2 linked regions of the Cricetulus griseus genome follow. The protein of the gene in region 2 interacts with the protein of the main gene of each other region in a pairwise test. Links are inferred from orthologs where the notes say so. Each region holds a gene or a part of one and is shown on either strand. Other genes may lie near its edges.

The links.
Region 1: the proteins of Sh3bp5 (region 2) and Sos1 interact in a two-hybrid assay, tested with the Homo sapiens proteins (2 studies listed by BioGRID and IntAct). The link is inferred for Cricetulus griseus from reciprocal best matches to the Homo sapiens genes SH3BP5 and SOS1.

The regions. Positions count from the first base shown.
Region 1 is NC_048600.1:3,605,314-3,613,251, forward strand, and holds the start of Sos1 (son of sevenless homolog 1), read left to right. Parts: upstream 1-2,466; 5' UTR 2,467-2,560; coding exon 2,561-2,647; intron 2,648-7,938.
Region 2 is NW_023276807.1:188,327,355-188,334,733, forward strand, and holds the end of Sh3bp5 (SH3 domain-binding protein 5), read left to right. Parts: intron 1-1,028; coding exon 1,029-1,071; intron 1,072-1,741; coding exon 1,742-1,961; intron 1,962-3,923; coding exon 3,924-4,184; intron 4,185-4,508; coding exon 4,509-4,726; 3' UTR 4,727-6,015; downstream 6,016-7,379. UniProt on the Homo sapiens protein: Functions as a guanine nucleotide exchange factor (GEF) with specificity for RAB11A and RAB25. Inhibits the auto- and transphosphorylation activity of BTK. Plays a negative regulatory role in BTK-related cytoplasmic signaling in B-cells.

The DNA of each region.
Region 1 (7,938 bases), on a different chromosome or scaffold from region 2:
ACGGTGTAGACCAGGCTGTCCTCAAACCCACACTGACTCACCTACCTCTGCTTGCCTCGTGCCGAGTGCACAGGCAACTCCTTGTATTCCTACTTCGGGTTTCTTCTGTGCGACTTTGATGTCTTTAAAACAATGCTTCCTGCTGTGCACATACTAAATCGTGAGATATAATAATGAGCTCCATACAGAAAAGCGTTATCTTTTGACATTTACATTCTAGTGAGGGGAGATCAGGAAGAGCGGACGACAGAGTGAGGGCTAGGAAAGAGTGACATAGACACATGGTAGACTCTAATTACACTCATCACAAAAGGTTAAAAGTAGTCACGTGAACAGCTAGGTGCTCCAGATTGGGAAAAGCCATGCAAGCGGGAGCTTTGTTTTCTGGGAATTGACAAGGACAGTGTGACTAGAGTCTGATGAACTGTGATTGACAGTTGTGAGAAAATGTTAAGAATGTTCTAAGTAGGAGTCAGGTGCATAGCTTTGTGCAGAACTTTGAAGTATGTGTTCTTTAGTTTTCCAGATAGCCTTTCCTGTAGCGCTTGGTAGCCTGGAGCTCACGGTTTACCTGAGACTGTCCTTGTACCTCTGCCTCCCTCCCAAATGCTGGGATCGGAGGCTTGTGCCACGGCTCTCGCCTTGAATTGTATTTTAATAGTAACGAGAAGCCAAGATACAGTTTTCTATAGAGAGCCAATTTGGTTCAGTCACTTTGGACCACACAAACCAGTCGCTGAAAATAACGTGTTTGTTGGTCTCTGAAACTCCTTTTCCCTCCTTCCCAAGCTGCAGTTCCACTGCCTCTCTCTTTAAAAATTTATTTTGTATGTGGTGCACCTGCCACTGAGCATGTATGAAGGTCAAAAGACAACTTTTAGCAGTTAGTTTTTCTCTTTCTACTGTATGGGTCCCTGAGACAGAACTCTCAGGTCTCAGGCTTGGTGGTAATGCCCTTTATTGGCTAGGTCATTTTACCAGCAGATCTGCTCTACTGTAACTCAGATGGTTTACAGATGGACTCCAAAATGTCATCTTGAACACGTTCAAAGTATGGGGGGTGAAAAATATATTCTGTGTGTATATTATAAAGGGGAAGATGTGACGACTTCATCCAGATTCTAGGAGATCGTCTAAAGATTAAGAACACTGGTTTCAAACATGTTTCATCTGTGAGATCTTGTTTATTGTACTCCAAAACAGCAGGACATAATGTCAGTTTGAGCCCAGGCTGGTTCTTCGAACTGTCTTCTCAACTATGAAATTAAAACTCTGAGAACTAAAACACTTTACTCGGAAAGCGTTCAATGATAAAGCATAACGTGCCACAGTGTTGCACAATGCCACTGTCACAAACATCTGCATCCCTGGGATGGAAGGACAATTTGTAGATACTGCTTCTACAGCGTTCCGGGATCTTCATGTCTCTATTCTGGGTCGTGTGCCAGAAGAAAAAATAAACCATTCCTTTCAGAAGCTAATTATCCAACTGAAGCCGTGAAAGATACAAAGCAGGGTGGACTAAGCCCGTAAATGTGGCCTGTGGGTTTGAGTAGACGCGATCAATGACTACTACACATACACGTTTTCATGTTATGGAAAGGACGAGGGAAACAGGACGACCTCTCCTCCCACCGGACAAATACTGAGCAGAGGTTTTTGTGAGACGGAACCTATCTTTTGTGCTATCTGTTTGGTATACAGTGCATGCTCAGGGCACTCCTTATCTTCATGCTGGGAACAAAGTACACACACCCCTTTCTGAGACCCAGGGTCTTAGGACCTCCTGGAGCGGCATGGGCTCCGGGCCTACGGGGCCACACAAAGGGGGCGTTTTGCCTGCTCACCCCCCCCCCGCCCCACACACACCCAGGCCCTTCGGTCCCGGGTTCGCCTTCAGGGTCCCTCGGCCCCGCCCCTGCAGTGCCCTCCCAGCCTCTTGCGCGCGCCCCTCCTCATCCGCGGGCAGCCGGAAAACCCGGAGCGAACCGGCCTGGGCCGGCGGCGCATGCTCAGTCGCGGGCAGGTTCAGTTTGCTACTAGGAAGCTCCAGCGCTACACGCGGCGGCGGCGGCGGCGGCGGGCGGCGGCGGCGGCGGCCCCAGCAGCGAACTCCGGCCCTTCCCCGCCTCCGCCCGACCCCGGTCCCCGGGCTCCGCCCCGCTCCGAGCTTCGCGCTCGACTTCCCCGCAGGCCAGCGGGAGCCACCGGTTAGAGCGTCCCTCCACGCGCCGTCTCTCGGCGGCCCAGGCCGTGCCGGGGAGCGCAGTCCGGTTGCGGGCGTCGGAGGGCGGCCCGGGGCGGAGCGGGGGGCCTGCCCCGGGGCGGTGGTGCGGGATGCAGCCGCCGCCACCGTCGGGCTGCGTTGGTTCTCGGCGACCGGCGCGCGTGTCGGGTGGGTGGGCGGGCCTCGCCCCCAGCCGCCTCGCCAGCGCTAGCCCGGCCGCGCGGCGCCCGAAGGGGCCGGGCTGTGCGCGGGCTGCGGCCCTGCTCCGCTCCGCTCCGCGCCGCGCCGCGAGCCGCCGCCCCTCCGCCCGCCCCGAGGCGTCCCGCGGGCACCATGCAGGCGCAGCAGCTGCCCTACGAGTTTTTCAGCGAGGAGAACGCGCCCAAGTGGCGGGGGCTGCTGGTGCCGGCGCTGAAAAAGGTAGGAGCGCCGAGCCCGCTCCCGGCCGCAGCCCGCGCCGGGCTGGCCGAGAGCGGGGAGGCGGGGCGCGCACCGCCGTCTTTCTCCCTGGTCGGCAGGGTCCCCGGGAGGACCGTGCAGGCGGCGATCTTCCCCGCGCCCGGCTGCTCCAGCTGTTGACACCCGCCCGGCGTGCGTGGGAAGGCCACACACAGTTGGGGAGGGTTGGCCCCGATAATCCAAGCGCTGAGGCGACGGTTAGAGGAGCCTCGGTTTACCGTGGAGGTCAAAGAAGGCCACTGCCTACCGTCTCGGTCTTAGCGAGCTGCGGTCAGCCTCCCGTTTTGGGAGTCCAGTGCGCTCTTACTGGCTGGAGAGTGCCCTGGCCACAGTGCTTGCCTAAGTAATTGCGAGGTAGCCTGCCAGCAAGAACATGGCCTGCTTGGCTTTGCTCGCCTTCAGTCACTAACTCCCGGTCCTTTTGACACTCCCCCAGCCCCATTACAGGGGTGATGCACATGCCACTGTGTTCAGATGGGTTCTTCTGGGGAGTCTGAGAATCTTTGAACCCTTGTTTGGTTTGGCGCTTTGTATTTTTAGTCTTTGTGTGTTACTTTGATTTTACCAGAGGTTAAAGTAAATTTTTTTTGAAAATGTTGCTACATTTTAAAAGCTCCTAAAGCAACACTGTAAACAGTCTGTTCTTTGGTTTGGCATTTCGAATTTTTAGCCTTTGTTTTTTAGATTGCTAGTGACTAAATCTTAAAAGCTTCCAAAGCAACATTGTTACTTAGTAGATTCTGTAGTAAGACATCTGAAACAGAGGTGGTTGAGTGGATTTTAAAACAACCGGATTGTTTTTGCTCACATTTGCCTTACCTGTAAAAACTGCTTTACTCTTTCAGTAGTTTTAATCTAAATTTCTTGTTGCTCAAATAGTTTTCAAGCTATCTTTGCTAAAATACAGCTTTGTTTCAATTGAGAATTGAGAGTGTTTACTGTACCATTGTGTGGAGGCTTTTATTATACCAGAGAGTTTTGAAAGGTGTTTCATAGTCCTCAAAGGCTAGCAACTTTTAGTTTCTCCTTTGCCCTGTTCATCCCTTCCCCTGTTGGTATCTTACGGTGGAAATTGCCAGAAGACTTTGTTTTTATTTTTCATATTTAGGTTACTGGTTTCTATCCTCAAGTGTCTCACTGCTTACAAACCTCTGTGGTGTTTTTCTATGGAAATCAAAGAGGCCACCTTGTCGTGCATACTTTGTTCATTAATGATCCCATGAGGCCTCACTCCGTCTTTTTTTACATTGGTTTACCTGCACACTTGACTGCTTAGCTTGTAGAAGTGGAGAAGTGTGCCTCAAGATGCTTGAAGCTTGGTATCTTGACAAGATGAGAGAGAAGAGTTGATTTATATGTATAAAAGCCCTCACAGGACATTACCAGTTTGGGGTATTTGGTTTAAAAGCAAGGAGCTCAAAAATAACACTTGAGAACCCTTTGAAGTGGTGGAAAGTGCATTGTAGAAGTTGGCAGACCTCTCTAACCTGCCACATGGGTGGCCCTTGGTGAAATCTATTCACAGACACATTTGTTTGGCTGTCATTGTGGTGTTTTGTTTTTTAATTTATGTAATTAGTTGCCACTATCCTAAATGAAAAGTATCACATAGGCTGAATTCCTATTTTGTTCTTGAGTTATAGACAGTCTTGCCATTTTCACACAACAGTAAATTACTAGAGTTGTAAGTGGCTGCCTTCTTGAGAAAGTGTTGTGTTTCCAGTTTAACACAGTGTTACTCAGGTTGGTTGGTTTTCCATTTCAAGCAGAGGTATCCCTGCAGAAGTGATGTGTTTATAGAATCTTCCTAACATGTAAGGTTCTTCTCATTTAAATTCTCACCTACAATGCTCTTCAGACACCTAAGACAGCTTGGACATATTTTTCATAATCTGAATATGCTCTTGTATCTTAAAATTACTGAATTATCATCTATGTGCTGGGCATTTCATGTAGATGTGTCCATGGACATTTTGTGTGGGTGTGTCCTTATCTTGAACTCTTTCTTCAGACTTTAAACTACTTGTATAATGCCTAACTATGCCTTTTCTTACCGGAGGCTTTTTGGACAGACTGTTCCTTTTATCTGGTCTAATACTACTCAATCTCAGAGATTTTTCCCAAACCCTCAGGGCTGAGTTGGATAGTGCTCCATTGTTTCATGCTAGCATCTTATCCTAACGCAGCAGTGCCTTTTAAGTTCCAGTTTACCTATCCATGCTTTCCATTCCCAACCAGAGAATAGGAATGTTATCCTACTGTGCCTGACACCTGTTAGGATTCATTTTGAACAAGTGCTTTTGTGTGTTACTTTGAGTTTGCCAAAGGTTAAAGTAAATTATTTGGAAATGTTGCTACATTTTAAAAGCTCCTAAAGCAACATTGTGACTTAGTAAATCTTCAAACTGTCTTCCCGCTTTTGGTTTGGCAGTTTGAACTTTTAGCCTTTGTATGTTACTTTTAGTTTGCCAGTGGTTAAAGTTATTTGAAAATGTTGCCAAGTGCGTAAGGGGATACTCAAAATAAAACTACCCCTCTTCCGCCCCCACCAGTTTTTAACTTCTTGGTTAATGGCTTTAGAATTTTATTTGGTTGGCTCAAAACTCTGAAGTCATCCCTGCCTCTTCTCTGTGTACTGCTGCCCACCTTCAGACAAAACCTTATGTTTATCAACATCTAACATGCTTTTGTAATCTGCTCTCCTAACCGCTTGGAGTTTCCTCTCCCGGATGACTGTGATAGGCTCTCAACTGAGTCCCTTGCCCCAGTCCACTTGCTTTTACATATTTCAGACGTTATAATATACCTTTGAAAGTGTTAAACATTTGTTTAGAATTGTTGATGTCCTTCAAGTTAAAATATTTTTAGCATGGAATTTATAAGATGGCTCTACCCTGACCTTCCTATTTGATTCCCTATCAAAATCTTTCTAGATAGGACTGCTACTTTTCCTGAATCTATTTATTAGGCCCCATGGTATCTGTCACGTCCCACAAATACATGATGCTTGTCTCAGAACAAGTGTTTGCCCTTGGCACTATGGATAAATGGCATAGCTTTAAAAGGTGGCAGCGGGTATATCTAGATAAAAAAAACTCGTGCCTCATCCTGTAGCCCAGACTAGTATTGCATGTGCAGCCTGGCTGTCCTGGCTCAGCCACCCTAGTGCTGGGGTTGTAAGTATGGCCTAGCACATCTGGCCAACGAGGAAGTAACACTTGATTTGAATTTTGGTCAAGGAAAGGAAAGAATGGGACCTAAGGTAAGGGAGAGAAGCTGCAGCCTGGTTTACTAAGTTCATCTAAGAAGAGAAAGTACCCATTTGTTTTAGGATGGATGCTATGTGAATGGTATTGAAAAGGCAGAACTGTCAGGCCTTAGCCCCTCACTAATGACTGCAGAAGTGTTAAGGAAGTGGGAAGAATCTTTTCAATTTTGCTTGCAGTCATGTTGATTTTAAAGGCTTTTTGGATTGTCTAGGCATATTTCTCCAGTTGGCAGCTCAGTTTTGATACCTTATGCAGCAGATTTGGAAGTCTGAGACAGAAACCAAATGAGGTCTTTGTCTATAGAAAAACTTAATATGGGTCAGGTTTGGTAGTACGAGCCCATCATCCCAGCTACTCAGGAGATCAGTGCAGGAAATTAAATATTCAAGGCCAGCCAGGACAACTTTTGCAAGAATTTGTCTCAAAACAAAAAGTAACAAAAGAACTGGAGATGAAGCACAGTGGTATAGTAGCAGACCGCAAACCTAGTGTGTCTGAGACCCTGCATTCAATCTACATTACTGACAAACATACATAGGAATATTTTTGGTAGGTTTGTTCCACTCCAAACAACAATCTAAATATCTATTTGTCTATCAGTAATCAACAAGGAAATGAATGAACAAATTGAATATAGCCATATAATGGAATAAAAGGGAATGAGGGTTACTGATATACATGTCAATATGGCCAGCCCATTTAATAACTGATAAAGCCAAACTAAAGCAACATGCTCTATATAGCTGTCTCATACTCCTGTTGTCACAGCATGAAGGCAGAGGATCAGGAGTTAAGGTCATTCTTAGCTATATAGGGAGTTTGAGACAATAACAAAATGGAAGAGACTTTTATGTTTCCTTATCTTGATTGTGCTCATGGTATCATATATGCTAGGTACTGTCAGATTATACAAGTTAGATATATACATTTTATTGTTGTCTTGTTGTTTCTCAACAAATACTGAATACCAATATAGTTATCATCTTAGGTCCTATTACTGTTTCACCATGGTTGCTTTATCACATGTCTGTCCACTCTTTAACTCCCATCAATCTATTGTTTTGCTTTGAGACAGTCTCTGACAATGCAGCCTGGAACTCACTATGAAGCCCAGGCTGGTCTCAGACTTGTGACAACCATCCTGTCTCAACCCCTCCCACTCGGTAATGAGCTTCTCTGTCCAGCTTATCTGATTTTTTTTTTTTTTTTTTTTTGGCTTGTGCCAAACTCAGAGAGATCAGGATGTACCTCCATACTAGGCACTTATCTGATATTTTGATGAATTTTATACTTGCAGGTTATAAGCACACTTAATTCCTAAATGCTCCAACCTGCATCAGTAACTGAAATCAGTAGCTTTTTTTTTTACAGTTCCTTTTGTTTTTATAAGAAGTTTATGTACAGTGGAATATATACAGATGTTATTTGTACTACTTAATGAATGTATATTATCAAAGTCTCTAATAAAGTGTAGACTATTACCATGGCTCTTAAAGTTCCCTTTATGCCCTTCTAATCAACTCCTGCCTCTCCTTCCAGAGATAGCTATTGTAACCTTTCATCATCCCACCGTAGTTAATCTTATCTGCTCAGGAACATCATGTAAATGGATTCAAGTAGTGTATATTTTTAGTGAGGCATTTGAGATTATTCTTTAAGAATTCAGTCCTTTTTTCCATCATGTGACTATGTTACAGTTTATCTAGTCAATGAATATCTGATGCTTTAAATTTGTAGCTATTGAAAGCTGTCATAAATGTTCATTTAAAAATTATAAAATTACATTTATGTGTCTGTGCATGTGTGCACATGCATGCATGAATGTGGAGTCACAGGACAAGTTGCATGAGTCTTCCCTCTGCCATGGAGATCCCTGGGATCTAACTCTGCAATGCTGGCAAGTGAGCCACTTCACAGCCCCAGATATTCTTGTTGTTGTTGACATAGTATCATGAAACCCAGGCTACCTACGAACTCCTGATC
Region 2 (7,379 bases):
CCCCCATGGCTGAGGGAGAAGCCTTTCATGCTGCTTGCTTTGTTTGGTGTGAATACATGGAGTTTGAAGACCCTGGTGCCCTCTGTACACTTCTCTCTCACTTGACCTGCCCACTCATCATTGAGGAAACAAACTCCCTGTGGCCACACTCTGCCAACCTGTCAAGATAACTTTGGATGACTCTTGCCTGCCTGTGAAACTAGATGCCAGTCTGTGCCTTCCATAGAATGGCTTCTGGGGCTCTGGTAGGTCCACTCCTCCTTCCTGTTGCCTTGGTCACACTCCCTTCCCTTGTTCTCCATCTTTGACATTCATGTTCACATTTCTTTTACTTGGACATCTCATACACCCACCATACTTTTCTCTACACCTTGGCTGGGCTGATATCCACTCTGTTTGGCCACTAAAAGGAGCTTATGCCCACATCTCAGATTTTCCTTATGCACCAAAGAGGTCCTGCAATGTGTTGTCATCAGCAATTACAGATGCAGGACTAAGGAAAATTTGACAGAGGAGAAACAGCTCAGACACTAAAGCTGCTACAAAGTGCCAGCTCTTCTGTCTGACCCAGAGTTTGGGGGACTTGACTTTTTCCTTGCCTGATTGTTTCACTGACTAACCTACCCTTGATCACCTGTACAAGAGGACTGACTTGAGGTTGAAGACATGGCAGCCCTGCTATACCCAGCTGACAGCGAGTGGTATTGCTTCCTTCCATAGTTGGTCTCAGCAGAGGGAATGTTTTTAGCACCTGTTCCTCAGCCCATCTTTTTTATTGGTCAGTAGATCCAAGCAGTCTTCCTAGAGTAAAACAAACCAGGATGCAAGGTTTCCAAAATCTTGAGACGGGAGTGAGGTGACTACTGAACTTATGTATCTACTGAAGCCTTAGGTGAGCCAGTAGCTCTGCTGGTATCTTTGGAACTGCCGTGGCCTAAATCCTGAATGGCCCGACTAGCTTAAGTGGGTGTATCTACAGGAGTTCACCATGCAATCCTATTCTTACATTTTCTTCCTGTCTTTTGCAGGCCTTATTTTGAGCTCAAGGCAAAGTACTACGTGCAGCTCGAGGTATGTGTGACCTTGGATTTGCCACCGTTTTGTTCTCCACCCCTTCTCACACTCAAAACTCAACTTTAGTGTGGTATAGCAGGCCTTCAGATGACACAATGTGCTGTGAGAGAATGGAGAAACGTATTCCTAGACTTTAGTTTTCAGATAGTCTTGGGTGTTGTCTGGAGCTATTGCCACTTGCTCGCTGAATTGCACTAACTTACTAGGTCTCAGTGTGAGCTCCCAAGATAAGCAGTCCTGGAAACTTTTTCGTAGTACAGTTCCCAGGCTCTCCACCCTACTGTCAGAATCTTTGGGGGTTGGGTCAGCAGTCTGCATTGTAAGTGGCCCTACAGACAATTCAGATACGGGGGCCAAGAACTTCTGTCTGGGACCAAGTGAGGAGGCTTCAGGACTTGATGTATCTATTGTTCCTTCTCTGAGGGCTACATTCTATTAATAACCATTTCTGCATGTTCTTGTCTGTCACACGGACTGGTGTTGAGATGTAATGATTTTCTTTATAGTGAATGGGTAGCCATGATGAAAGTAACTGGATCCTCCTTAAGGCCATCATGATCATGTCAGGCGTTTTAGGAAGTTCTATGCTGTAATCATGTGAAACCCCTCTCTCAATGGGGATATGCAGAGCCACTTTGACTTACCAGGCCCTCCATCTTTCAATTAGCAACTGAAGAAAACAGTGGATGACCTTCAGGCCAAGCTGGCCCTGGCCAAAGGCGAGTATAAGGCAGCCCTGAAGAGCCTGGAGAGGATCTCAGATGAGATACATGAGCGGCGACGTTCCAATGCCATGGGTCCTCGGGGCTGTGGCGTGGGGGCTGAGGGCAGCATCACATCAGTGGAGAACCTGCCTGGGAGCAAACCTGAGCCTGATGCCATTTCTGGTGAGTCTCTCCAGCAGGGATCACACAAGCATGTGTGATCTGCTTTCAGGGCTATCTTATCCCACAGTCCCTATCCTTTGTCCATCACTTAAGAATTGGAGAGTTGGGGGCTGGAGAGATGGCTCAGAGGTTAAGATCACTGACTGCTCTTCCAGAGGTCCTGAGTTCAATTCCCAGCAACCACATGGTGGCTCACAACCATCTGTTATGAGATCTTCTGCCCTCTTCTGGTGTGCAGATATACATGGAAGCAGAATGTTGTATACATAATAAATATTTAAAATCTTAAAAAAAAAAAAGAATTGCAGAGTTTGGCAACCCTGCAGGCTGTTTGATGGTTTCTCATGTTTTGTGGGACACTGTGTTCATTGGCTTGCTACTGAATGTTAGCATTCTGTGGTCAAGTAAGTTTGGAAAGTGTTCCACCTCCACCCCTCTTAAATAGTCTAAGTACATATTACAACATTCAAGACTTGAAGTTCTGAGGACAGATTTAAAAGGGACTTGGGACCCAGATTTGATTGTGACCCCACTTTACCACTGCACATGGGCTAGTGGGCCTTCATGTGTTAGCTGCTTCAGCTTTGTGACGGGGACAGTGTCTCCTATGGTAAGGAGGGTTGTGAGAAGTGACAGCTGGCAGGTCTCCCTGGGGTCTGACCACATGGGTCTCTTCTGTCCAGGCATATCCTGTGCAGATAGGATAGAGGACTGACCTAATTTCTGTTTATCAAGAAAACTACACTGTGACACTCAACACTTCACAACTTTTCTTTTCTTTTCTTGTGGAATAATCCATTGTGGCTCTTTTAGGCCCTGTCTTCAGACATTCTTTTTTGTTTTTCCTTATTAGTATTATCTTTAAAAATAATTTGTGTATGAGTGTTTTTCCTACATGTGTATCTATGTATACCACATGCTTGCCTTGTGTTAGAAGATGTCAGATGCTCTGGAATTGCAGGCATTTGTGAGCTTCTATGCGTATGTTGGGAATCAAACCTGGGTCCTCTGGAGGAGCAGCAGGTGCTCTTAACCACTGAGCCATTTCAAGCCCCATCCTCAGCAATTCTTGAAAGCCATCAACAAATGCTGAGTTGCCAGGTTGAAGGGAAATGAAACTATAATGTAATCAGTGGCTATGAGTGAGTTACTTTATACATCACTTCATTAATCCTGTCCATAGAGCATTTGAGCAGTCAAGTTGCTTGACAAGGCCACACAGTCAACAGTGGAGTTAGGATCTGAATTCATTCAGTCTGTCTGAAGCAGTATAGTACTTAGAACAATCCTCTCAGGAATGCTAGAGGCCATTTTTAAAGATGCCATAGGTGTAAAGGGAACTAGGAAGGATTTTAGAAGCGAGAATGCAGTCTGAGAGGCTCTGAAAACAAGATGGTATGTCTCTGTGCCTTGGTTATTCTGGTCCACAGATTCAGGCACAGTCAGAGCATTGAAAATGAATGTTCTTTGTTGCAAACAGTTAAGGGCATCTCGTGAGATCAGAAGATACTACAGACATTCCAACAGCTCTTGCTGCTTACGCCAGAAGGAAGACCTTCAGTCTTCACTGTAAGATTGCCTCTGTGTAGGACACATTTCAAAGGGCTAGTGTCTAAATTTATCTGTCTTCCCTTTCCTTCAGTGCTGGGGATGGAAACCAGGCCTTTGTATATACTAGACACGCACTCTGCCCTAGCCATCCCTAGCTGTCCTTTATCTAGGTAGCACTTGCTGGCACAGAATTAGAGCAGGAGTTAAATTCCTCTAGAACACAAACTTTGCACAGGAGCTAGCTGCTGCTTCCTTTCAAATGCTCTGGAGGCTGGTCAGAAGAAGGCTCAGGAAGGTTGTAGGTCCTGCCGACTCCATGCTGTGGGACTGCCTGCCCGCAGAGAGCAAGCCTTTAGGAACTGGGGTACTACTTAGCAGACTCCATGTGACTGATGTTCTCTCTCACCATAGTGGCTTCCGAAGCCTTTGAAGACGACAACTGTAGCAACTTAGTGTCTGAAGATGACTCAGAAACCCAGTCTGTATCCAGCTTTAGTTCAGGACCAACAAGTCCATCTGAAATTCCTGACCAGTTCCCTGCAGTGGCAAGACCCGGCAGCTTGGATCTGCCCAGCCCTGTGTCCCTGTCTGAATTTGGAATGATGTTTCCAATACTGGGCCCTCGAAGTGAATGCAGTGGGGCCTCCTCCCCTGAATGTGAGGTGGAACGAGGTAAGTTGCAACCCAACTTGTGGATTGTTTGTGCCTTTGCTTGGGCTCTGCCTGACCAGCTTCAATAACATAGAACTTAGGTCCTTTGTCTCTCCTTAGAACAGTCCCCTTCACTGGTTTGATTCCTAGCTACAAAATGAGGATGAGTGTATCTCTAAAGATACACACTAAGGAATAAATGCAGTGTATCACCCAGTGCTGGAGAACCCCTGAGATGCATGGTGGGTGGCGTGGGAACTGCAGAGGGCTCAGGCGGCTGATGCCAGTGCCTATGGTACTCTTGGAACTGTCAACTCCCATTTGGCAACCTTTGTATCTCTACAGGAGACAGAGCAGAAGGGGCTGAGAATAAAACGAGTGACAAAGCCAACAACAACCGCATTTTCGGCAACAGCAACAGTGGTGGTAGCAGGGGCAGGAGCCAAAGCAGCACATCCCTTGAGGGCCAGACCTTGGAAACCCGTATGAAGCAACTCTCTCTACAATGCTCAAAAGGAAGAGATGGGATTATTGCTGACATAAAAATGGTGCAGATTGGCTGATCCATGTGCAATGGATGGCTATGGATGGCTATGACCCATGTGCAAATCACATTTATACATGAAACTCAAGAAACATCGTGCCAATAATCATTTAACATAAGCCAAATAGTATGCATTTACTCTAAACTGCACTAACCAAGTTTCAGTGATCTTGAGGGCTGAAGAATTTCCCTCTGATAAGAGCTCTTGGGCTGGTGTGTTTTTCAGAGCAGAGCCATTGCAGATAAACTGTGACCAGGGTCACAGCCTTTGCAGAACATTCCCTGTAGCGGCAGTGTGGAAGCAATAACTAGTTTCTGTGAAAGAACCTGAGCCAGGAGGAGAACTGGACACTTAGCCAGACTGGGGTCACCAGCCTACATCTCTATCCCCTCTGCCCCCTCTGTTTGGGGAAACTGAGATGTTTTCTCCATTATATCACAGGGCACCAAAATAATTTTCAAACTCACACAAAAACTCAAGTGTTCAGAACACATTGTTTTGACCTAGTGAAAGCTTAAAAACAATGCCAAGAACACAATTCATCTTCATCACCTCTGGTGCTCAGAGGGGGATTTAAAAAAAAAAAAAAAAAAAAAAAAAAAAAGCATGTCTTCTGGGACACCAATTAAAACCATTTCCTAGGAAAGCCACCATGAACTGCACTTTTGGGGGGTGGGAAAGGTGAATGAATGCCAATGTGGGGATGGGTAATGAGGTTGCAGGGACATAGCATAGAGGGGATTTGTGGCTGTGGGAGGCTCTATAGCCTGACTTTAGCCTGCCAGCCAAGGGGGGGTATATTCTAAGACAAGTGCATGTGAAGAATGGTTGCCACTGTTCTATCTAGACTGACAAGAAGTTAATTTCTCTGTAGGCTGTAACTTCTACAATAATTGCAATTATTTAAGGTTTATGCTGCACCTAGTATTCCTTAGAGGAAACGGTCCTTAAAGCTAGGAAAGGGAGTGGGCATGTACTGGCAAAGGCTGGTAAATAGAAGCAATGGATGCCATGATAATAGTGTGTTTAGACTTAGTGTTTATGGTTATGCATATTTAGGGCACTGTATTTTATCTGTCCTGTTTTATTGATTTGGCTTTTCTGAAGAAAAAAGCACCCCCTCCTCCATTTCTTAATTGTCTCTTAATTCTGTCACAGCTTGTATATTTTAGCCATGTATGTATAGCTTCATACAACAGTGGTTTCTCCTTTTTTATTGATGGATACAGTATCCTAATTACAAGGTTATTTTGTACTTGTTTTAATACCTTGAGGGTAATAAAAACTAAGAAAACTTTGTGACTTCAGATGAGAAAGCCTGCTGTTGTCTTACTCTGGGAAATGCCATCGCTTTAAGAAAGCCCATAGAGTGCAGTGGGCATCTGCTCTCTTTTTCAGGTAAGATGGTAATCCTGGTCATTTAAGATCAATCCCAAGGTCTGGATTCGAATTCTACTCATGCATGGTGTTACACAGGTGTGCACCAAGGAGAGACAGGCAGGCAGCCCACAGGTGACACTCAGCTTCACTGGGGTGGGGGTAGGGGTGGGATAGGGGCTAACATCCTGTGATATGGTTTGTCAGTCTGATTTAATTTGTGGTACACCTGGGCACTTTTTCAAAGGAGTATCAGATTTTAATGTATATGCTGCATACTGAAATGTGTTGTGGGATAAGTGCCCAGTTAGTGTTGCCTATTAATGTTCTCAGAAGTCCCTTTCAACTGCTCTGTTCCCTGTAGCCGAGACTTTGTTTATTTCTCCTTCCTATCAACATTTGTGAGGTAAAGTTGTGTAGTTTAATGTTTAGGATCTACCACGGGGGATTTCTGGGTCACCTATCACCCTGAATGTTGTTTCTTCCATTTGCCTTTTAAGTGGGAGTCACACATTTACAGCAGGGAATAGAAGATAGAATTTTCTTGTGTTGGGAATCATAGTACTATATCCCTTACTTGGGCACTGGGGCTTCATAATCTGGCCTCTGACCTCAATTCCCCATCCCCATCAGCCTGGGAATGCACAACCTTTGACCTGGCTCCTGTTTCACAGTGCTCCTCACATTTCCAAGTTAAAGCAGGGCCACTGTTGCCATCATGGCCTTCTTACTTTCTCTGCAATGTTGGGATTCGCTACTCTTTTGACTTTATTTCAAGTTTATATGGCCAAGTGAAATCTCATTGATACAAATCTTCCAACTACTGAAGTAAAAGCTATCCCTGAATCATGTATTTTCATGCACATCTATCTTTTATAAGGAATACAGTAGATTAATCCAATAAATCAAGTTCTGAAGGTTAAACTAAAGACACTTTCCATAAGTATAAATATTTTATTTCAATTAAAGGCAGTAGAAATAGTTTTGATAATTATAAAGTAGAGACAATGACAGATCCCATCCTATTTTTCAGAATTTTTAAATCTTGAGCATCATTCTGTACTGATGATTTTTATGTAAACAAATGGGAATTTACACAACACTAATTCCTGGCAACTTACTTTTTATGAATGCTGTATAACTCCATCACCACCTACTAAATTCTCAAGGACTTTCCAAATCCCTGTTATGAAAGCACCAACTACAGAGCAATTTAAAAACTCTACACGCTAAACTTTAAAATTTCCAGTCTCAGATTACTACATTCACCAACCTGCTAAGAATTAAAACAGCA